Linked DNA regions of Coturnix japonica. The protein of the gene in region 3 purifies or fractionates together with the protein of the main gene of each other region. This does not show direct contact. Links are inferred from orthologs where the notes say so. Each region holds a gene or a part of one and is shown on either strand. Other genes may lie near its edges. The genes, in order: LIN7C, CASK and ARHGEF26.

What was found.
Region 1: the proteins of ARHGEF26 (region 3) and LIN7C purify together in Homo sapiens (affinity purification with mass spectrometry; 3 studies listed by BioGRID and IntAct, counting the BioPlex papers as one, with this or other methods). This does not show direct contact. The link is inferred for Coturnix japonica from reciprocal best matches to the Homo sapiens genes ARHGEF26 and LIN7C.
Region 2: the proteins of ARHGEF26 (region 3) and CASK purify together in Homo sapiens (affinity purification with mass spectrometry; 3 studies listed by BioGRID and IntAct, with this or other methods). This does not show direct contact. The link is inferred for Coturnix japonica from reciprocal best matches to the Homo sapiens genes ARHGEF26 and CASK.

Annotation. Positions count from the first base shown.
Region 1 is NC_029520.1:3,029,760-3,033,415, reverse strand, and holds part of LIN7C (protein lin-7 homolog C), read left to right. Parts: intron 1-1,493; coding exon 1,494-1,612; intron 1,613-2,631; coding exon 2,632-2,703; intron 2,704-3,042; coding exon 3,043-3,252; intron 3,253-3,656. UniProt on the Homo sapiens protein: Plays a role in establishing and maintaining the asymmetric distribution of channels and receptors at the plasma membrane of polarized cells.
Region 2 is NC_029516.1:100,936,102-100,938,681, forward strand, and holds the end of CASK (peripheral plasma membrane protein CASK), read left to right. Parts: intron 1-541; coding exon 542-718; 3' UTR 719-1,996; downstream 1,997-2,580. UniProt on the Homo sapiens protein: Multidomain scaffolding Mg(2+)-independent protein kinase that catalyzes the phosphotransfer from ATP to proteins such as NRXN1, and plays a role in synaptic transmembrane protein anchoring and ion channel trafficking.
Region 3 is NC_029524.1:20,648,583-20,652,238, forward strand, and holds part of ARHGEF26 (rho guanine nucleotide exchange factor 26), read right to left. Parts: intron 3,257-3,656; coding exon 3,182-3,256; intron 2,032-3,181; coding exon 1,942-2,031; intron 108-1,941; coding exon 1-107. UniProt on the Homo sapiens protein: Activates RhoG GTPase by promoting the exchange of GDP by GTP. Required for the formation of membrane ruffles during macropinocytosis. Required for the formation of cup-like structures during trans-endothelial migration of leukocytes.

The DNA.
Region 1 (3,656 bases), on a different chromosome or scaffold from region 3:
GAACAATCACACCTCTGCTGTCTTTCATTTCACCAAACGTTTTGTGAGCCAAATTCAATGCCAAATGTGTGTTGGGAAATCAAAAGCATTTTTTTCATTCTGTAATTTTTGTACAGATTGCAAGTATGCAGCAAACACAGCAGACTTGGAGTTAGCAATAGCCGGGGTTTCAAATGTGATGCGTATTTGCTTAGATACCTGATCCTCTTAACAAATTGAAAATGCTTCCTAAATAGTGAGGATGAACTTGAGCTCTCATCTGAAGCAATGCGTGCGACTGCAACTGTAATATTCGGGTGCTGTTCCATGAGTGATTTACATCCTGTCTGTGATACAAACACAGCTTTAACTGTGCTGGTGGATGACCAGTTCAAGAAGTTACATCATACCATCTTTAAATGACTCTAGCGGCTGCTATGAGTGTCTGCGAGATATCTAACTGATGCCTTACAGAAGTGGGCAGCATGAACTGTGGGTTGTCTTCTGTCAGTGCACCTCAATTTCGGAGTGTAACAAGATAGACATTGGTCTTGAAGTTTGTGGTGGCTGCTTGTCTATTTAGTGGCATTACAGCAGCACAGAAGATGTTCCACGTGAAAAATGATTCCCTGAAGGTTAATTATGGAAAAGAGGAAGTAATGTATTTAGGACATAATCATGCTCCAGACTTCATCTTCTAGAATGATCTATGCCTTATTTATGCGGTAGATTAATCACTGCTTCTGTCTGCCTTTCTGATAACGAAGATCATAATGTCTACCTGCTTTTCTGAGAGACTGTTCTACTGCTATTCATGGACTTAACGTGATTCAGAAGAATGGTCACTCTAGAAATGTAAGTGAGGAATATTAATCCTTGCTACTCTTGAAGAGCTGCCTGCAGAACGCCGCATAGCTTTGATGCCATGTTTGATGCCCATCTTGCTCGGTACTGGTCTGAAATCAAATTCTTCAGATGAAATTTTGGTTTCACTGATAGTTTTGGTCTTTCAGGACATGTCAAGAAATGAGGAAAAAATGTTGAGTTTGGGGATCTTTACTACAGAACACTCAGCAGAGATCGTGGAGGAATTTGGGTTCTTTTTCCTAGCGCTTTGATACATCAGGCACATTGTAGGTGGAGGAAGTAAGAAAGTATTTTCAAACTGCTATGAGGTTTAATCAAGTTTTTACCATTCCAGCTGCTGTTTGGCATCCAATTAATATAATTACAGACTACTCATGCCCAAGTCAGCCTTTTTTGTAGGGAAAACATTGGGTGTATTTCTGGTAAACTAGTTTTTGAATGTAAAAGGTATGTTAGTTTGCTTGGTGATACTATAGATTGCTTTGACAAAATGATAGCCATACATTACATAAATTACGGAGTTTTATGCATACAAAACAGTGCTACCGCATTAACTTTGTTTAAAAAGCAAAAGCAAACAAAGCCACCAGTAGGATCTTTTCAGGCATTGCTCATAATGAACACTTCATTTTTGTTTTTTTCTGTAGATATCTGCAGAGCAATTGAATTGCTGGAAAAATTACAGAGAAGTGGAGAAGTGCCACCGCAGAAACTACAGGCTTTGCAAAGGGTCCTTCAGAGTGAATTCTGTAATGCTGTAAGGGAGGTAAGTTAACTGTGTAAGCAATTAGCTTGCATTAAAAGTGGTACCTTGAAAAGTGGAAGTGTTAATGCACTGAACTTCAAAAAACTGAATTTGACTTATGGAGCTTTATAGAAGACGGCTTATTTTTTACAAGTTGAGAAGAAAACAGTTTAGGGGTACTATAGGTGTGTTGTATTAAACAGTATCTGATAAACAAATTACTTCTTGGAGGTTATTTGGAGGTTATCTAGCTGCCTTGCTGGCAGGTAGTGCCCTGTTATCCTGTTGGCTGGTAAGAACGGGCAAAGTATAAATTGCCTTTTCTTTTAAGCTAGATTGGCATCATAGCTTTGCACACCTCATCTTCGTTCCTGATGCTCTTTCAGTAATTTGAGATGATTGAATGCATCCTCCTGTTGGTGGCGGTGATGGTGCTACCACTGCTGATAACACCTGCAACAATTTGCAAGATCTGTTTGTGGACGTGGAAGTCCTCTTGATGTTTTCATCTTATGAAGGACTGCGTTTGTTGTGTTAGCTACCACTAACCCAGTTAGCATTAGTATTCTTATGGCCTTTGTGTTTTCAATAGCCTTTATTTTCATTATGTATTCAGTTGGTTGCATCAGGTGAAGGGAAATACAGATTTGATTGTTGGGTGAGCTTTGAAGATCCACCCTTGCATAATTTTTCATGCACCCTTATGGAAAAGTCCAATTAAATCAAATATGAGAAGTTAGTCACCCACATCTGCTGTCAGATGTTGTGGTGAGGTCTGTATACTTACTGAGTGAGAGGATTTGGGTTGAGACCTAGAATGTGTGTGGCTTATCTGAGCAGTAAAGATATTGAGAGAGTTGTTTCTTCATAGTATGGTAGATACTTTACTTGGCACCTTGCAGTGAATCAGGGAGTCATTTGCTAAAGGTGTTTGGTTTGGTTTTTTTCATGTATGCAGTTTTAAGTTGTAACTGATTGTTATGTTACCTAAGCAGAAAAATAACTCTTTTCACCGTGCTTAAGTTGTCTTATCTTTAAAGGTGTACGAACACGTATATGAAACTGTGGATATCAGCAGTAGCCCAGAAGTGAGAGCTAATGCAACAGCGAAGGTAAACGCCAAACTTGAGTAAAATGTGTTAATTTGTTACTTTAGAAGCAGAGGAAAGGTATTTAAAATCCAGAAATGTATTATCTAGATGTTTGGTCAAATAGATAAACATATGAGGTCATTAAAAGGGATAACAAAAGACATTTTTTAAAAGTTTTTTCCACTTATATTGTCTTCGTTGAGTTCTAATTTTTTTTTTAATCCCGATGTTGTTTAAGAAATTGATCTGATTATTCTTAATATTTTAGCACTTTAAGATGAAACTAATTTTTCAGCCTGCTCACTGTGTCAAGCTGAGGAGTTTGTAGTCGTGTAAATAGCAAGATCTTATTTTTTACAGGCCACTGTAGCTGCATTTGCTGCTAGTGAAGGTCATTCGCATCCCAGAGTGGTTGAACTGCCAAAAACCGAAGAAGGTCTTGGATTCAACATCATGGGAGGCAAAGAACAAAATTCTCCCATCTATATCTCCCGAATTATCCCTGGTGGTATAGCTGATAGGCACGGAGGCCTGAAACGTGGAGACCAGCTCCTTTCTGTAAACGGAGTGGTAGGAATTTTTTCACTTTCTATAGCAGTAACTACTTGTCTCCACTTGGGGGCATACGTAGAATATTCGTGGCACAAGCTTGAGGTTGTCTTTCGATCCTAGCAAAACTGCTTCTTATTGTCCTCTCAAGAACATCTTCCTTAGGTTTCTGAACCTAGTTCTGTGCAGTGAGAGTTCTTGGATTATGCTTTGGTTACATTTTTCAACTGGGATGGGTACTATTTATGTCAACGTTTCAAATTCTGAAAAGTTGTATAAATCTGGTAGGTCTTGTTCTGAAATAGTATTGAACTACCATTATGGCTTCCTGTTTTATCCAATTTGATGATGCAGGTTTTAACTTAGTTTTCTGCAGCTTCAAAGGTAAGTAGTAAATTATAATGCATGATGGTAGACTGAGCAGG
Region 2 (2,580 bases), on a different chromosome or scaffold from region 3:
AGAAGTGATATAGGAAATACTGAAATAGGAACTGCTGGGCAACATGGAGTGAGAACTTCCTCATCGGCAAAGGGTGGTTAAAGAAAGTAAACCCCAGAAGACTGATGTTGAACAGTGAATTGTTACCAAAACTGGGAACAGCTGATATTTAACAAAATACCCTATCCTGTTTCTTGTTCTCTTCCCTGGACATAGGCCACGTAGCTTGAATTTGTGCACTTTGTTTGTTTAACTCACGTATGGTCTTTTTAGTTCCATGTCTGTGCTGCTTTTATTAGCTTTCATCCTTGCCTTTTTAGTTCTAGACTTGTCTTTTGTCTCACGTAACGTCAGTAAATGACTTGTATTTGAATGTCAGCTTCAAGACAGAAACTGTGTAATTTCTTCCTTGTAATTTCTAGGGAATTAGGCAGGGTCTCTAGACCACTTAAGCTTTTTTTGCCTGCTTTCTTCTCTGTAAGCAACAGCTAGAAAGCTGCCATAGAAGTAAAGGAAACGATCCAACTTACCTCTCCCATTTCCTTTTCTCATCATTGACTAGGATGAATCTCTTCAGCGCCTGCAAAAGGAGTCTGAAATCTTACAGAGAACATATGCACACTACTTTGACCTAACAATTATCAACAATGAAATCGATGAAACAATCAGGCACCTGGAGGAAGCCATTGAGCTCGTTTGTACAGCGTCGCAGTGGGTGCCAGTCTCCTGGGTCTATTAGGCCGCTCGCGAGATCATTGAAAAAGCCTGGCGTTACTGGGAACCACCTCATACATGGGAAACCTCTTCGTTATTGACCTTGTGTCAGCAGGTCTTGGCCCCTAGAGACTACCTAGATGTAGTGTGACCTAAATTTATAATTATTGTCATGTCCTAATAGATAAGAGGAGGGGGAAAAAAAAATTAAACACTAATTTAAAGAGACAGTATCTTTTTTTTTTTTTTTTTAATCATTTCTCCTAAAATTTAATAAAGTGTATCTTTAAATGTATGTATTATTCAGTCCTTTGGAATGTTATATTTTTGGAAATAATAGCTTTTTATTTCAAGGGCCCCTAAAAACTGCACAAAATAGATGCTGCTTTCTATAATCTATTTTAATAGTAATAATAATATGATTCTGTTACCTTAACTTGGGGGTGGAACACTACATTCTTTTTAGAGTCTGATTTTATGGATCGGAATACTTTCCTTTATTTATTTGAAATAATCAGTCTAGCGGTTACCAAACAAATTCATCAATCTTAAAGGCCTTTCTTCGCTCTTTTTTTGTTGTTGTTGTTGTTTGTTTGTTTGTTTTTTAGGGTAGCGTTTTTAAATACTTTTGTGTAACATCCAGATAATGTGATACTGTCTCTTTGAAGAACTCTGTAAAACTTCTTTTAGAAATCTGAAATTGGGTCTTGACTCTTAATGCATGTGGACAGTCGCAAGCGTTCATGCCGTTGGTGTATCTGTGTTGAAAAAAAAACTGTAATCTACAGCAAAGTACATTCCGTTCATGGGAAAACGTACCCAAGGGAATAAAGTGAAATATTATTCTGACTTAAGTTGTAAACCTATGCACATCCCTTGCATTTTGGGCAACTTTATACAAAAAAAAAAGGAAAAAAAAAAAAGAAAAACCGATTTTTATTAATAATAATCATGTAGTGAAATGTGTTTGTAATTTTGTCTCAATTTAATTTGTTGTAAGGTGGGAGGGGGCAATTACTGGTTTCACCATTTCAGATCTGTGTCGTCTGAGAGTATTAACGTTTTAATTAAGTTTAAGCAAAGAAATGCTGATTTTTAATATGTATGTAATTGTTTAAAAATGCACACATTTTAAAAGAAAATACTGTGCAATGAAGAAACCAGTTTAGGCATTGCGATAAACTTGACTATTCCAAAAGACTCATCGAAAACAGCCCTGTAAATTCCTTCAAAATGGTAATTGACGCTACAGTCTGACCAAGTTTTTTTATTTTAAATATACTTCCTTTTATGTGTTCAACAACCAAATGTTTTTGGGTCCTTCATTTCATCGCAGGGAGTTCCAAGAACAAATCAGTGCTTCTTGCAGCGAGAAGAGATTTCTTGACGTCTGTTCAGTGAAGGCCGTGGCGGAGAAGCTCAGGGGCTCTGCTGGGCCTTTCCAAGCACAGCTTAGAATCAGAGCAGAGCCAAGGAAGAAAAAGTAATTAAATGTGCCAACCTTATGTTTTGTTTCCTTTCTTCATGCCCTCACTGGCCCAGATGGTTTATGTTTTTCCTGCAAATACATAACAGAAGCAAGCATTACAGCTTCTTTCTAGATGTCAGAAGTGTTCCTTAGCACGGTTTGTGTTAAAAGCTCTGTTGGCTGCGCTGTTTTATAGTATGAAGTTCAGCATTTACGTGTTCTCAAATGATTTGTCCTTAAGTTGAACTGTGAGCCATAATTATCCGTAGGCTGGTTCAGTTGTGTGGGACCACATTTCCTGTAATCAGAATTTTTCTGTCATCAGAAAATATTCTCACTTTATTATCGGGGCAATAATCATCAAATGCAAAAGCTGCTTATTTTCTCCTGCCTACTCCTGCAGGTCAGGTGGCCAAATC
Region 3 (3,656 bases):
ACCTGCTGCTTGCAAGTCCTTTTGGAGAAAAGTCCCGTGTCTTCTACATACGCTGTTAACTCGCCCCTTTTCACCAACCACCGCGAAGAAGAAACCAAAGGAAATGGCTAAAAAACAAGAAAATAACATTTCAATCCTTTAAAAGTAGCTTATTTCCCCTCCTTTTTCAAGATCAGGTAACAGTCTTAAATATTTGGAAAAACAAAACCCACTTGAAAAAACTCAAAGCACAGAAATTAGGAGTTCTAAAGCATCTTTATCATCCACACAGTCCACAAGTAACAGCCTGCAAATACTTGAGAAGTCTCATATTCATGACCTAATTGCTCATCTAGGGTAAAAATGAGCAGATTTGACTGCTCGCACTTCAGGGTGGAACTGATGCCCTAAGAAGAGGAGAACTGCTTGTTCAGCACTGGCAGCAGCTCCTTCCCTCACACAGTGAACACGGACATGGACAGGACGCAATTATGGCTGGCTGTCCCTGCCTGCTGGGCTGCCCATGGCACTCAGCTCCTCACAGTGCAGAGGGCTCCTCCAGCAGCCCTCAGTTAGACCAGCAGTGCAGCAGTCCTTTGGAACCCTTACAAATCATTACAAATTAAAGAAGCCTTCAACTTCAGTCTTGCCTCAGGCTGATTTGTATCCTCAGCCATGTACAGAAGTGATGTGGGTTTTAGCAGCTTCTCTCGTACTCCTATGTAATGCTCTACAGTCACACCAAAGAAAGTGAGAATTACAAAATGCTTCATGAGAAAAGAACAGAAATAGTCCACCTGGTTTATAATGGTTATAGAACGGAATCATCATCATTGTTCTTCAGATAAAAGCTACTCTGAAGATTTCTAGAGTATGAACTAAAAAAGCCCTCTAATCTCTATTCCAAATGAGTTCATCAGATTTTCCTGGCTGACTGTATTCCAGAGGCATCCTGTGTTTACTTTAATATTAATTTTCCCTTAATTGCCAAAAGACTACAATGCATATTTCACCTCCTTTCTATGTAAAATAAGCCATCAGAACTTAAAATGTGCTGAAACTTGGCCAAAACAATCCGGCAAGCATTCCAGCTGGCACCTGCTCCAACAAAAGAAGTCTAAACCACTCAGTGGTTGCATTTAAGAGGCACGGAGGGAAAAAAAACTTGCATAAAGAATACAGAAAAAGAAGATAAAGTTCTGTTATTGTCATGAAATCAGCAAGAGCTGCCAGTCCCAGCAAGCACACTGCAAGGATCACACAGGGCCTATAGCTCCTGCAAGGTCAGATCCATATCCCAACCCCTGCCAGCAGAAAAACAATTTAAAGGCATTTAAAACCTGCCACGTTCTTCTGCAGGTCAGAAAACTGGGAAGGAATGTGGGAAGCCAATGACACAATGCAGTCAAACTATTTAAAACTCTATTTTCAGTTATGCAACTACCTGAGACTATTATCCACCAGTGTTAGCAGATGCTGTGGTGTCACTTAGGAGATGTTTCCTTTATTCTTGTTAAGTAAATGTTATTCTCATTTTTAGTATGTAAATACTTTGGACAACTTGAGAAATATCCTTCTGGAGACAGGACTTACCCAGAACAAGACTGACCACTTAAACACACTTCCATCCACAGAGCTAAACCCAGAGTCTGGGCATTCATTCTTCAGTAATTAATGCTACTTCATTATTTTAAAAAAGCATGTTCTCATACCCTATTTCCTTAAAAGTCTCACCTTGAAGCTTAACAGACCTCGCTAAAGGAGCAGCAGTCCTCAGTTACTCTTCAAGTTTCCAAAGCTTCAGCTACCTTAGAATATGAATTTGACTTCCCATTAACTGAGAAGTTGCATCAGGTTTACTTTGCCCCAGTTTACTTTGTGCTGGCAATGAAGCTATCATAAGAACATGCAGTCAAAGCTCCTCCTATGGTAAATGGTTTTTGTTCCTTGATTTAATCATACCTTGATTTTAAATTCCAGCTGGGAGTTAATTGTGTACAACATTTCTGTCCTTTCCATTTTTCGAGCACCTTCGTTGCACAAACGCACCAACTGAAAAACAAGACATTTACCGAGTGTATTTCACGTCCCCACCATGTGTGATACCAGTAACCCCTGTTCCTTCACACAGTGCACTTCCGTGAAGTGTTTACAAAGGATCTGACATTTTCACATTCAGGGATGGTCACAGTGCTTTCAGCACCAGGCTGAATGCACCACGGAGTGACCTGGTCAGAGCTGAGAGATGGTTCTGCTCTGGGGCTGGACTGGACGACCTCCCGATGCCCCTTTCAACCCACACTAATAATACTATAATTACTACTTCTCTTACTCACTGATCCAAATGAGTGCCCTGCCCCACAGAAGCCATCTTTCCAGCCTGACAATCGGTGCTGCACACACATGCAACTCTTTCATAGACGAAAGTCACAGTACAAATACTCCAGTGCCACCTTGTTAAACTCAGGCAAACTGGTCTAGGGATTGGCAACCCTGCCCACAGCAGAGGCACTGAAATCAGTTGATCCTTAAGGTCCTTTTCCACCCAAGCCATTCTCTGACTCTATGAAACTACCCCAGGGATGGTTTCATCGTGGCTGACATTTAGAACACAATCTCAAAGCACACACCATAGCCTTACTGAAGCCTGCACATGGGAGAAGAGTCATGTGTGCTCACAGGTGCAGTCAGAAGGGCATCAAATCACATTCCCTTCAACTCCATAAATATCATGCAGGTCTTCCCACAGTTAATAAGCCTTGTCTCCTTTTAAAATCAAACACTTCACAAACCATTTACTGTTCCTATGGAAAAAAATAATTGTGTTGGCAACAGCACAGTGTTCCCGAGTGCAGGATATCTTCTTAAGTAAGAAAAAGACAGTAATTTAGCCAAGAGAAAGGCCACTGTGGATTGATTTCAATTAAGACAGTTCAAAGTTTTTATATCCTTCACTGCTCTCCCTTACACAGCAACGTTCAGCGCCCACGGCCACATCCAGCCCTCACAGGGAGAGGAAGTTCCCTTTCAATTATTCTTAGTTTCTAATGATGCTCAATACATCACACTTAATAACAGTCTGTGATGTGTTATGCTTTCTCAAACTGAGATCTTGAAGGCAAAAAACTGACAACCCTGAGATTCCTCCTTTTCTTTTCATACCACAATGCTCTGCTTGAAAGTCTTGTATTTCCAGACATACCTTGCTTACTTCTTTCAGGGCCTGCTTGCAGTTCTCATATTTTGGTGAATCTTTAGGAGTTTTCTGACAAATTGTCTGAAAGAAAACATCCACTACTTCAGAGAACTAAAAAGCACCAACTGTAGCAAATAGAGACATTTGCATAGCAATTAATGGTAATCAAAGAGCTGAAGCACCACCAGGGAACTTATGGACAAATGTGCTAAATGAGAGAACACCATGGACATACGGATGCATGAAATGATACTAATTAATTAATTTTTATCCTAACAGCCTGTGAAACTTCTGTGCCAGGTTTCTTCTTGGTTTCAGAAGCAATTCTACTGCAGATCCTTTTTGATTGGACTTCAGTAAGTATTAAATAAGTATTTAATTTTCCACTGCACAACCAAATAAACGCTTCTGCGCTTCATGCTAAGCCGAGCTGTCAGTACTTACAGCCCCGTACCTGGTACAGGCAGTGGGATCACCCAGG